Linked DNA regions of Mus musculus: all the other regions are reported to be linked to region 2. Evidence: microRNA targets listed by miRTarBase, many of them from high-throughput screens and not tested one by one. Region 2 holds a microRNA gene; each other region holds the end of a gene's coding sequence.
What was found. Region 2 holds the annotated microRNA mmu-miR-149-5p (UCUGGCUCCGUGUCUUCACUCCC, at 1,492-1,514, opposite strand). A microRNA usually pairs through its seed, bases 2 to 8, with sites in the 3' UTR of a target mRNA and lowers its output. Matches are read on the target gene's strand: a 7mer-m8 pairs with bases 2 to 8, a 7mer-A1 pairs with bases 2 to 7 and ends in A, and an 8mer does both.

Region 1: the mRNA of Elovl5 is a reported target of mmu-miR-149-5p. Seed matches in the 3' UTR shown: 7mer-m8 at 975-981.
Region 3: the mRNA of Spred3 is a reported target of mmu-miR-149-5p. Seed matches in the 3' UTR shown: 7mer-m8 at 1,251-1,257 and 7mer-m8 at 2,943-2,949.
Region 4: miRTarBase lists Plpp3 as a target of mmu-miR-149-5p. Seed matches in the 3' UTR shown: 8mer at 1,454-1,461.

The regions. Positions count from the first base shown.
Region 1 is chr9:77,982,206-77,985,235 of GRCm38, reverse strand. Elovl5 (ELOVL family member 5, elongation of long chain fatty acids (yeast)) reads right to left here. Exons shown (of 8, transcript NM_134255.3): 8 at 717-2,571. The coding sequence ends at 2,428. Among named protein-coding and RNA genes, the nearest start is that of Gm34829, 4.1 kb to the left of the region's middle.
Region 2 is chr1:92,848,865-92,851,894 of GRCm38, reverse strand. Mir149 (microRNA 149) reads right to left here and starts at 1,517; the gene lies at 1,452-1,517. The region is part of intron 1 of Gpc1 (glypican 1); the gene reads right to left.
Region 3 is chr7:29,158,980-29,162,009 of GRCm38, reverse strand. It overlaps Spred3 (sprouty-related EVH1 domain containing 3), which reads left to right. Exons shown (of 6, transcript NM_182927.3): 6 at 1-3,030. The coding sequence ends at 484. Among named protein-coding and RNA genes, the nearest start is that of Fam98c, 4.3 kb to the right of the region's middle.
Region 4 is chr4:105,230,490-105,233,518 of GRCm38, forward strand. Plpp3 (phospholipid phosphatase 3) reads left to right here. Exons shown (of 6, transcript NM_080555.2): 6 at 408-2,278. The coding sequence ends at 533. Among named protein-coding and RNA genes, the nearest start is that of Plpp3, 75 kb to the left of the region's middle.

The sequences.
Region 1 (3,030 bases), not on the chromosome of region 2:
TGCAGGAGCGTGCTCAGAGGTGAACCCTCTAGCAGGGGTGCAGGGGAGGAGCTAGGGTTGTTGGAAGACACTGAGATTTATGCTCTGGGGTCCTCTGCCATGGGAGGTGATAGCAATTCTTGGTTGCCAGCTTGACCACATGCAGAACTGACTACAACTCAAACTGACTACGCCAGTGCTGGATTTTGTTCCTTAATCATCTGAAGTGGGAAGACCCACTTGAGATCTGGATCTCTGAGGTAGAAACCCACCTTTAATCCAGGCCCTACCTGCTGCTGGCAGCCTCTCTCTAAACAGGACAGAGAAGAAGGAAGCCCTCTTCTCTTTGCCTGCTTGTTCTCACTCTTGCTAGTGAGTCCACTCAAGCAAATCCTTCGCTGGCATTCGACGCGACTGCTCTGGAACCCGTGTTTCCTGAAGAGCAGCTGAGACATTTAGCCTCGTGGACTAAACAGCTACTGGATCCTTGGATCCTCTGTCTGTAGATAGCCTTGTTGGACTAGCTGGACCACAACCTGTAAGCCATTCTAATAAATCCTCCCCCCACCCCCACACTCATTCTATGAGTTCTGTTTCTCTAGAGAGCCCCCAACTGATACAACCACTTTCCACGCTACATTACTCATGTCCACTCCCTAAGCTCCTACAAGGTGACAGAGTTGACCATCCTGCAGTCTTTCAGAACTGTCAGCACATCAAACAACAGAAGACACAGCACGGGTAATCAAAAAGGTTTTAATGATTAATGTTTAGACATTATTTAACAGTGTGGGTATATCCAGATGAGCTAAGCACACTTTGACAGCACACTATCAAATGTTATAATTTTTGTATTGAGATATGTAAAGACACCTGCAGACGGGTACCTAGGGAGAAGACACACACATACACACATTCTAGATCTGACAAGGGAAATGTAAACAGATGCCGCAACTCCTTCCAAACAGAAAACCCACAAGGCTAATTAGGACCAACTGGCTCCTTGTAATATGAATGTGCAAAATTAAAGCATGGTAAACTGGTATTTACATAAATATCAAACCCACAATTAGTTTATACATTGTCAATCATCTCCTAAGATGTGCCATGAGTGGTTCCATGGATTTTTTACCAATGCAGAAGGTATTCAAAGGCTAAGCTTTCAACACTTTAAAAATGACACACATGAAAAGAGTCCCCATTTGTATGACCGATGCCTCGAGCGCACTAGACACGATTTTAGGATAAGCAGTCCAAGCACTTTAAACCGATCTTTAGGTGCTAATCAGAAAAAAATTACAGATGCCACCATGATTCACACTGAAAAAAGCGGTTGCTCCCAAACACCCAGTTCCTGCGCGCTCCAGCTCTTAAATTTTACCTCAAAATGCTTATGGTGCTTCCTGGTCTCTTGGTAAATTAGGCACATTTTAAAAGGAAGTGTATGTCAAAGTAGCACTACAGAAAAGAATAAAAAAAAATGTGGACCCAGGTAACCAGTCCCTTATCACTGTGTGTGTGTGTGTGTGTGTCTGTCAGATAATAAATGTCTCGTCACCTTTCCTGAAAGGTAGTTCTCTCTCTCCAAGTGGTGGGAAGTCGAATGGCCTTTTTATCTCCTGTATAAAAACACTAAGCACTTCAGAAGTGAAAAGTGACCTACTCTTATAGTCACCCTAGCCTCTGGGGGACCAGGGACAGGTACGTAAGTGTCTCCAGACGCTTTGGACCCTTTCCCCACCTCTTTAAACACATTAATAGTGGCACTCAAAATAAAAAAATAAGATCTGTTAAAAAGTTAAACTGACTGTTCCACTAGACTTGAACCTGCTTATTTAAAGCCATCGTTATAAAACCAAGGGTGCCATCAGATTTCGCATCTCCAAGTCACTTGAAGTTACACATCACACACTTGTTTCATAAATCATACATTTGATTTTTCTAAACAGAGCTAATACAAATGAATAATACAAAGTTGAAACATACCCTAATTAAACTAACAAGCTCTGGGCCCTGCTTTTTTAAGTCTTAAGGCATGTGTGTTTTTCTACTGTTAACAACATTGTACAAATTTACAATCACATGCATGGTCTACAGTTAAAAAAAAAAAGTTTGGATTACAGTGTTTTAAATTGTGAACCACAATTCAGCACCTATCGTGTTACAACTAATAAGGCAACAGCAGTGTTGTATACTACAAGAACATTCCCTTTCCACAGTCTAGCGCGGGGGTCGATGAGAGCCCAGAAATGTGAGAAAATCGTATGCCTACTTTGTATAATCTGTATACATATTCTAGGGGTTTTGAACTGATGAAGAAGGTCCTACATGAGTCACACTGCAGATAGTAGGGCCAGACTAGTGACAGCAGCTGCTATGAGCGTCAGGGCACAAGTCACGCTGTGCTTACAATCACACGCCGCGGTCTGGAGGCTTCGGCTCGGCTTGTCAATCCTTTCGCTGCTTCCTGGGCTTCACGCTGTTTTCCAGGGAAGGGAAGCTGTTGGTGTGTCCGTTGACGGCGGCCACAGACCCGTTCTGGTGGCCCTTCAGGTGGTCTTTCCTCCGAGAGGCCCCTTTCTTGTTGTAAGTCTGAAATGTACAAGGCGAATCAGTGCCTGCTAACCAGATGAACTGTACCGGTCTGTATCTCACTAGGCCTGGTTTCCTGGTCTGATCAGTCTCACCACGTATTTCCTGTGCTCAAATAACCACTTTATGTTCAATCACCCTTGCGACTTTTTGAGGCTTAGCTCAGAGGTTCTGACCCCCTAGACCACAACAGAAACACTTAGAACACCGAGTTTCTGTTCATTCGGCTTTGCCTCTTCAGGATGTGGATGGTGGAGCAATGGCCTAGGGGACCAAACTGGCTTCTCCTCCTGGCTAGTAGCCACTCTACATCACAAGCCATTACTTATCTTTATGTTTTTCTTATTGCCTCAGTAACCATCATGTACAGTACAATGGGCACCAGGAGCAATTGGAAGAAGGTCCTATTATCAGGCCCCGGCAAAGCAGGAGTCAACAAGTCACACAAAGCTACGTCGG
Region 2 (3,030 bases):
TGGAGATCTCTGACTAAGGAGAGATTCTGAGGTTGCATTCACCCTTAAGAGCTTGTTACATGATCACATCCTTGTCTTTAGCACTTAGTAAGCACAAGCATTTATGTGTGCTGGATGGTGTGTGTGTGTGTGTGTGTGTGTGTGTGTGTGTGTGTGTGCATATTGCAGAGTGGAACTGTGTACAGCCTCTGTGATTTTGACCTGACATGGAAGGTATATATCCCCAGATGCCACCCCTCCATCCCTAGGTAGGGCAACCTTCAGATCTGCTCTTCCAGGTCTCAGGTTGAGGGCCTGGCCTAGCCCTTCTCCTGCTTACTAAGGCATGGGAGCTGTGCTTCATCCCAGAACCCTGGGGACTTTTGGCCTCACAGGCTGAGTCCCACCTGGTTTCAGGGTCCCCAAAGGTCCACAGAGCAGGGCAGTGGCTGACAGCTGGTAGAAGAACAGAAGGAATTGTATTCTGATTCAAGGGTGCTTGGGGGAGTCAAGAGAAAAGGGAGTCAGAGATGGGAGGTGCACACGGAATGCCCCTCCCACCACTCCCCTACCTGGTACCCTCTGCTCCTACCACACTGCTTCCTCCTGCCCAGGGCACCTGCCTTTCACAGGGACTGCAGGTCCTGGGAAGCAACATGTTATTAAGCACCCAACCTCAAGAAAGGGCTGGGTTGGTGCCCAGACAGCTGGGAGCTGCAAGCCTAGGTCCTGCCACTTGATCTGCATCCATTGATTGATTCCCTTCCTTCTAGAGTAGGGAGGGCTAAGCAGAGATTATCCACCCGCAAGCAGGCTACAGGCACAACAAGGTACAGGGCCCAGCAGGGCCTTCTATTTGCTCTGCTCCGGGCCATGGTCTGCTGGGCTGAGGTGATATGCCACATCTCTCTCTTTGAGTGGTGGGGTTTAAGGGTTTTTCTGTTAGAGGAGGAATCATGGGGGGCACTGTAGAGGATGACCCATCTCTGACTTCAGCAGTGAGTGGGGAAACAGCTATGGGGATGGAGGCTGCAGGTATCAGGATGGGGCCATCCTGGGCTCAGCTGGGACAGAGGCACTCTGTGTGTGTAGGCCAAAGGTTTTAGGTGGAAATATTGAGGACCAGGCTGCACAACAGAGCACTGGCAAGAGAGAGGTGGGCACAGCCTTACTGGCCCCTCCCATGGTTTCTGCTCCTCTGACATCCTTCTCCATCTTAGTGGTCCCAATTGCCACCCCTCACCACATAGACAGAAGAACGAAGCTGAAACAGGAAGAAGTTAATTAAGGACACACACTCAGAAACAGAAACTCGCCCCACTCCACGGCAGGTTCTGGATAAATGGGACCCATGAGACTTTTGGCCAGCTACTATGAGCATACCCCATCCAATGGCCTCCCCTGCAGCCCCCTGGCTCTGCCTGGCCACCTCACCCAGCCAGCCCGGTGACCTGCGCTGTTCCAGTTGCCCCAGCACCGCCCCCGTCCCTCCCTCCCTCCTCGGACAAACACGGGAGTGAAGACACGGAGCCAGAGCCTGGGCACTGGCCTGAGGGCCCCGGGCAGGCTGGGTCAGGCTGCCCAGAAGCCCATGCATTGGCAGACCTGCTTGCTGAGGGTCAAAGATAGAGGAGCTGAGACCCAGCCCAACTGGAACCATAGGTGCTCAACATCAGAACAGCTAAGGCAGGCTCTGCAAAGCTCTCTACACTTCCAGGAAAGCACTGGAGTACATACCCATCGTAGGAACGTCTCTCCGTTCTACCCTACCAGCAGCTTCCTCCTTGCCAGCCCTGAAGGTGGGTGGGAGTGGAGCGGCAGTATTGTTCCCCACTGACCCCGCCCATCTCTCTCAGAGTTGGTTTCATTTTTCCAGATCTTTCCCTCCTGGGTTTTTGGGGGGCACTACCCTCCCCTGGCACTCACAGGTTTTATTTGGGGAAGGGGGTTGTTTGTTAATGGCAGGTTTTCCCCACTTTAGTCCCTTTTCTAAGCCTTGTCCCCAACCCCAAAGCCTCTCAAATTCCAAGACCCCTGCTTCTTGTGACACTTAGCATGGCACCCCATTGCAGCAAACCCATGGGCAGCAACTGCTCATTTACCTCCTCCCAAATCTGGCTGCTTGCACCCCACCCCCGGCCCCCCACTATTCTCCAGAGCAGACAGCAGCTTGTGGCTTCCTACCTTTCAGGGTCACACCCTCCTGCCACCTGCTGACAGCTCCAGCTCCTGCTCCTCCCTCACAGAGGCAGCATCCCTCTTGGTCATCATCCACAGTCACCCCAGGACTTTAGCAGAGTCCAGCATCCTGATGCTACCCACAGACATCTCTGACCTGACCTCCCCTGACACTTCAGGGACCCAATGCCTTGAAACCCTCCACCTTCTGAAGATAATGCAGAGTCATGCTACCCCGCCTCTGGTCCATTCTTCTAGAAGCTTCCTGTGCTCACGGGGGAGATGCAGAGTGGAAAGCCCACTTCCCTCACGGCCCCTAAAACACTCCAGCTGGCACGGCTTGGGGGAGTGTAGGGGCATTCGGAGTATAATCTCTCAGCACCGCAGATAAGGGAGAGGCACAGGCTACACTCCCCTCCCCAGCTGCTGGCTCCTAGAGCAGGCCTTTCTGTTGACTGGTAGGTTAGAAGTAAACCAGCCCTCTGTGCTCCTGGGTTTTCCAGCCCCAGAGGCTGAGAGTCTCCAGGACGTGACAGCCTGGAGCAAATGGCCCAGCTTTCTGGGGGACTACTCACTGCCCAGGCTCCAGGGGCATTTTCCCATTGCTTGCTCCTGTTCCCCAACAAACCTGTCTAGTCCCCGGGGGTCACACCCGAAGGAAGACATTTCAACTCCATCTCTGAAATTGGAAAAGCATCAAGCACAATCCCCTCCCCGCCCCCACCTCACTCCCAATACTTTTCCACCCTCCTGGATGCCTTCATGATTCCCGAGCCCCTGCCTCCGGTTCACCCAAATGGCAACATCACCAAGAAGAACCTCCATCACGAACAGGGACCCCCTAACTGGGGGGCATCGGCTGCTGGCACTTCT
Region 3 (3,030 bases), not on the chromosome of region 2:
AGCCCTGGGTCCTCCAGTGTCACTCCCTGCCCCTCTCACAGAGGCTGCACCCCCAGCACCCCCTGCTCGTCCACCCCCAGGTCCAGGCCCCACCCCTGCTCCAGCCAAAGCCTCCCCAGAGGCTGAGGAGGCTGCACGCTGTGTGCACTGCCGAGCACTCTTCCGCCGCCGGGCAGATGGGCGTGGTGGTCGCTGCGCAGAGGCCCCTGACCCAGGTCGCCTGCTAGTGCGCCGGCTCAGCTGCTTGTGGTGTGCCGAGAGCTTGCTGTACCACTGCCTGTCAGACGCCGAGGGTGACTTCTCGGACCCGTGTGCTTGTGAGCCAGGCCACCCACGCCCTGCTGCGCGCTGGGCTGCTCTGGCTGCTCTGTCTCTGGCAGTGCCCTGTCTCTGTTGTTATGCGCCCCTGCGCGCCTGTCACTGGGTTGCAGCACGTTGTGGCTGTGCGGGCTGTGGGGGTCGCCACGAGGAGGCTGCACGGTGAGGATTGTTGAGCTGGTTTGGAAATCGGTCTGAAGACCCAAAAATTGAAGGTCCAGGACCCTGAACAGCATATGAACCTAAAACCCAAACTTAGGTATATCTGGAACTTGAATGGATTTGAGAGATCCCAGATCTGGTACCTGGACCCCAAACTGAGGACTGAGATACCGAGGCCCTGCTTCATCAGGGTGTCTGCCCACCCGAAGTCCTGAATTCTGGATTCTCCATACCTTTTCCCCACTGAGAAGACTTAGAATATTTTCAAACATTGCATCTCAAGGGGCCCAGGAGCTCACATCTTGGACCCTGACTCTGTCTAAATGCCCAACCCAGACTTCAGGTCATACTTGACATTGTAAACACTCATCTTACGGCCCCCAAACTAGTCAAGAGTTACTCAAACTTGACACTATTATCAAATGACTTAGACCTTGAGACCAGAGGACCCAGAATCACCAGAAAATGGTCCCTGAATTTTCACCTGAGACCTGGTATCTTCACATTTAGATGCTCTTATAGCCCCAGGATGGTTTGGAATCACCAGATACTGGCCTGAACTCTACCCGCTCCTGAGAGTCCACAGACATTGCCATCAGTTCATGTGCAAGTGACCCGCAAATTCCCTAGCACCCCAGATTTAAAATGTATTAACTCCTTAGATATCCTCACATATGAGGTATTTTCAGACCAAAATTACTTGGGAGGCTCTTTTCAGAGCTCAGCAAGGTCCAGATATCAGATACCAAGATGCTGGGGGGGGGGGGGGGGAGCCAGGCTCCAAACACCTACTCCTTAAGCCAGCCATGAGAATTTGAGTCTTGTGGATGGGCTCTGAGATGCCTGGTATCCTTAAATGTCTGCCTGAAGGCCACCTGCACTTTGGGCCCAACACACTGGTTTGTAGAGATTAGCTAACCTTCCGGTTTCCCTTAGGCCTGAATTTTAAAATATTCTGGAAACATCGGCTTCCTTCTGCCTACACTCCCCTTCCACCACGTTGGGTGGAAGCCTGGAACTTAGAAGATGCGGTGGTCATGGTAACCCAGGTCCTTCATTCCTTGACTCTCAGCCCGAGAGCAAATCCAAAGGGCTTTATGAGCCCTGGATCTAAGACCCAAGATGCCATTGGACCCTGGGTGCAGGAGTCAAGCCCTCACAATTTTGGGATTGGTTTTGGCCTGACACCTTGATCCCTTCAGACCAGAGACATTCAGCAACAAGATGCCACAGTCTTTCAGCACCGTTAGGCTCCAGGTGTTCTTGAATTCAAAGTACTTGTAGACTAATGAAGCCCCCATTTCCTCACTACCTGATTTCCCCGTCTCCCATGTCCTGCCATCCAGAGGCCCATAAAACTGAAATGCCCTAGCAATGCCCAGACTCCCACCCCCACCCCCTTTATCCTAGGGCAGGGTACTTAAGCCAGTGTAAATTCAGATTCCTGGAATCCGGGATCACCTAGCAGTTTCCCCTTTCCCCTCTCTAGGGCCTGGCTTTGCTATGGAAGATTGTGTGCTGTCAGCTCAGCAGAGGCAGGCAGCTACAGGGATCAAGCAGAGACCGCAGAAGGCCTACCCTTTGCACACCTGTAATTCCGGGGCCAGCAATTGATCCCCAGAAGACCCACCCCCACCCCAACCTTGCAGATTTCCCACACTATAACCCCTAGTACATTCAGGTCCCTCCCCTGTGAACCTCTTCCATCTCAGTTGGGGGTTGCTCTGAAAAGCTCAGTATTGTTTTGTAGTACTTCCCCATGGAGAAGAGAGGAGCCACAGCCTCTTTTCCCTAAGTAGAGACACTAGGATCAGGTGTCCTGGATAGGAGAACTAAGATTTCAGAGCCAAAGTCTTGATGGTTCATGGGCTTAGGACCTACATCTGGCCCTAAGTACCTGGGAATGTACACTTGAATCATTTTTCATTACCCAGACTTGGGTGGCCTTGTGGGGGTTCAAGGGATGAATATTTGTGTCACTTCCTTTAAATTATTAACTATTTATTGTATCCGGAACCTGTGATTCAGCTCCCCCAAGCAGATCCTGGGATGGGTGAGAGAAAATGGGGAAAGAGGGTGTCCCTCCCATCCCCCTTCTGCCCAGCTCTCATCAATTGTCAGACCCACCAGAGCTGAGGGCAGAGGGACTGGGGGCTGGGGCAGCCTGCGTCCCCATCCTCTCTTTGTGCCTCGGTCTCCCCCCCTTCCATGGTAAGCGGGGGAAGCTCCATTCTTAACCTACCTCGTTTTGGGAAGGGGTGGGGAGGGGGACCAGAGTGCTGTATGGTGCTGTGAGATCTTCGGATTAAGCAGTGGGGACTTGGGGAAGGTTCCCTAGTCCCCCATCTCCAGTACCCCCTCTCCCAGGTCCCCTTGCCCTGTTCCTTGTCGATACCCACCTCTGATCCATGATTACCTTTCATTGCCCCCATATCTGGGGTGCATGGAGGACTGAACCCTGGGAGCCAGGAAGACCTCAGATCCTAGAGCTCCCGAGCCCAATTTTCCAGCTGCTTGCCCCCCAGACCTTGGGGGAGGTCCGCCAACATT
Region 4 (3,029 bases), not on the chromosome of region 2:
TGGTTGATATCATAGGGCTTTCGGGAAAATATACTCACCGTGCCTCTTCTTGTTCCGGCTCCTGCTGGTCAGAGTTTGCACTGGCCCATCTCACCTTTGGCCTCACTCTGGATTTCTTTGTCAGGAAAAGGAGAGGAGTGTGGGTTAATAGCTGAGCAGTGATGAGCATGTCCCTTCTGTGGAATTTATCTGCCATGACACGTAGGCCTTGAGAAAAGTAGGGTTTGCTCTTTCGTAGCCCAGGCAAGTCATTGCCTCAGTTTCCCTCTCTGCACCGTGATTCCTGTATGACCTCCGCCAGTTAAAAAGCTGAGATTCGGGCCCTCTTTGCCAACCGTCTGTGTTTGTCGCCTGTTCCTGGGCCACACTAGGCATTTACTGACTTGGATCTCTGATTCGCGCCCTAGGTGTTCTTCGTGTCCGACCTCTTCAAGACTAAGACGAGCCTCTCACTGCCCGCCCCTGCGATCAGGAGGGAGATCCTGTCTCCCGTGGACATCATCGACAGGAACAATCACCATAACATGGTGTAGATGCTGCGGCCTCCGGAGCGCTTTCTCTGAAGCGACTGCACGTTCCTGCTGCTCTCCGATCTCATCAGACAGTAGAATGTAGGGAAAAGCTTTTGCCCGATGGATTTTGAAAACATTTAAAAAAAAAAAAAAAAAGCCTTATCTTGTGGCCTTCCAAAATAGGTTGTTTGCCTGTGTGGAGACAACAGTGCGGGAGTCCTGAGTGCTGGCTGTGCAGCCAGTTAAGTGTTCATGTTCTAGTGAGCACGGGCTTGTCAAGGAGCAAAACACTAGAATAATTGAGCAGAGGCTGGGGTCATCTTTTGTGACCCGAGAAATCCCAGGCCAGAACAGCTGGAGCTCTTATGTAGCACACAAGGCTCGAACCAGCACCGAATCAGCCCCTCTGCCCGCCCCACTCTACTGTGACTTTGATTCAAGGAAGTTTGTGTGTGTGTGTGTGTGTGTGCCTCAAAATTCCGGGAATGGGCACACAATTTTTCAGTCCCGTGATCAGATCCTGAATCCCAACCCCCAAGACCTGAGGCCTCTGTCATCTCCCCATCCCCAGGCTAACAACCACAGCCCCTCACTTTTAGAGATTAGGAGACCCTTTGTGGAAGAGTGAACTTCACAAATAGCACAAGTTCAGAAGACACAGAGGGTGTCTTCTCACACACCACACTGTGACGAGGAACTGCCATTGCAGGGTCAATCACCAGGCACTTGCACATGTAGAAACCTGTAGACTTTGGTTACTGCTATATTCCCCTTGAGATCCTTGCTGGATGCCGACCAGGATTTCATGTGAGGGCCAGGGATGCACAGACCTGGTCAATCTTTGGCTGATTGAAAGAGCCTCAGTAAAGAGACAAGGAGAGAGAGAAAGGGCAGAATGAAAAAAAATGAACCAACATTTTTTGGCTCCTTGGGATCAGAGAGAGCCAGAGTAGCAGAGGGTCTCGTGCCCAAAAGGCTACCCTTCAAGATAAGGGAGCCCCGAGGGTCTTTGCAGGAGTTGATCTTGCTGTGTAGAGCACTATTGTCCCGGGGTTGACCCCTGGGGCAGTTCTTGGTGGGTTCTGCTGGGCAGAACACATGGGTTAAATCTGTGTAGAGAGTTTTCCTCATCCTCCATCCACAAGTGTCCTTCCAAGCAAGGTCCCCCTCTAGACAGTAGACAAGGACCCTTCTACTGAACCTCCAAGGAAAAGAAGAAGGAAAAGAAGAAGTGCTTTTCAAATCTTTCAAAGGGCTACATGTAACCATCTGGAATGACCACATCTACACCCTCCCAGACTCCGTCCTTTCATTTCAACATATAGCAAGCTATGATTTTATATATAAATATTATATAAATATTGTATAAAACATTAAAAGTTAACTATGTAAGATATTATTTCTGAAACAGTTTTAGTTATATCCACTATGATTATAAACTGTGTCTCGACCTGTGTTATTTACATTAGCTGCTTAAAGGAGCATTGAGTTCTTTGGTTTTGTTTTGTTTTGTTTTTTTTTAATCTCAACTAAAGATATAGTTCTGTGGTAGCCATTGTTTTACAATGAAATAACTGCAACTAGAGAAAAAAAACTGTATAAAAACATTAAATTGTCAGTATTTTTGTAAGATTCCGTTTTGTAAAGAGAATAATATTCAAACACTTTTGTGGCATACAAAGTAAAAAAAAAAAGTGTATCTGAGAAACTAAACATGTATTAAATGTGCTTTTTAAATAAAAGCTCATAACACAACTAACCAAGGCACTGGTGCCTGAGCTGTTAAAAGGATGTTTCTTTGGGATCTGCGGAGAGGAGGGTGGGGTGTGACCGTGGGGTCTCCTGAGTGGGCTTACCTTAATGGGGCACCAGTTCCTGATTGTTCAGTGGCCATGATGGAGGCAGATGTAGAAGCTGTCCTTTCATCTCTGAAGCCTGTTTGCAGAGCGATCCTGGAGGCTGACTCTCACCTCCAGCCTCTTAAAAGGGTCTTTTGTACTCTGCAGTGTTTTCATGGGGGAGGTGGGAGCTCTGGGTCCCCAAAAGATAGATATGGAGACTTCCCTAGATAAGATGGGCTTGGGGAACTTGAGGGAGAGTCTTTCCCACAGCCTATATTCAAAGGAAGGGGTTTCTGTATTGACAGGGCATTGGGTTCCTGCTCTCCTGCCTTGTGTGACCACCCGCACCACCCCCACTGCCACCACCTAGAAGGAAAAGGGAAGCTGGAAACTCAGGAGTGTTGTGCACCTGTGTGCCAGACAGTTCTATCTGGATGTTCCTTTACATCCCAACACAGTTCTTAGCTTGAGCAAGGAGGGATGCTGTGGGATGCAGACGATGTAACTTTTCTAAGAGCCGGTCAGTAGGTTGCAGGACAGGCCTTACATTAGCTTATTTTTGCTGCTGTAATAATAATTACAAATTACTGCAACTAGGTGACTCGAGACAACACGAATCTGTTACCTTCCTGGGCGGTAGGCTCTTAGGAGCACTTGCCTTATGTAGTTTCCGAGG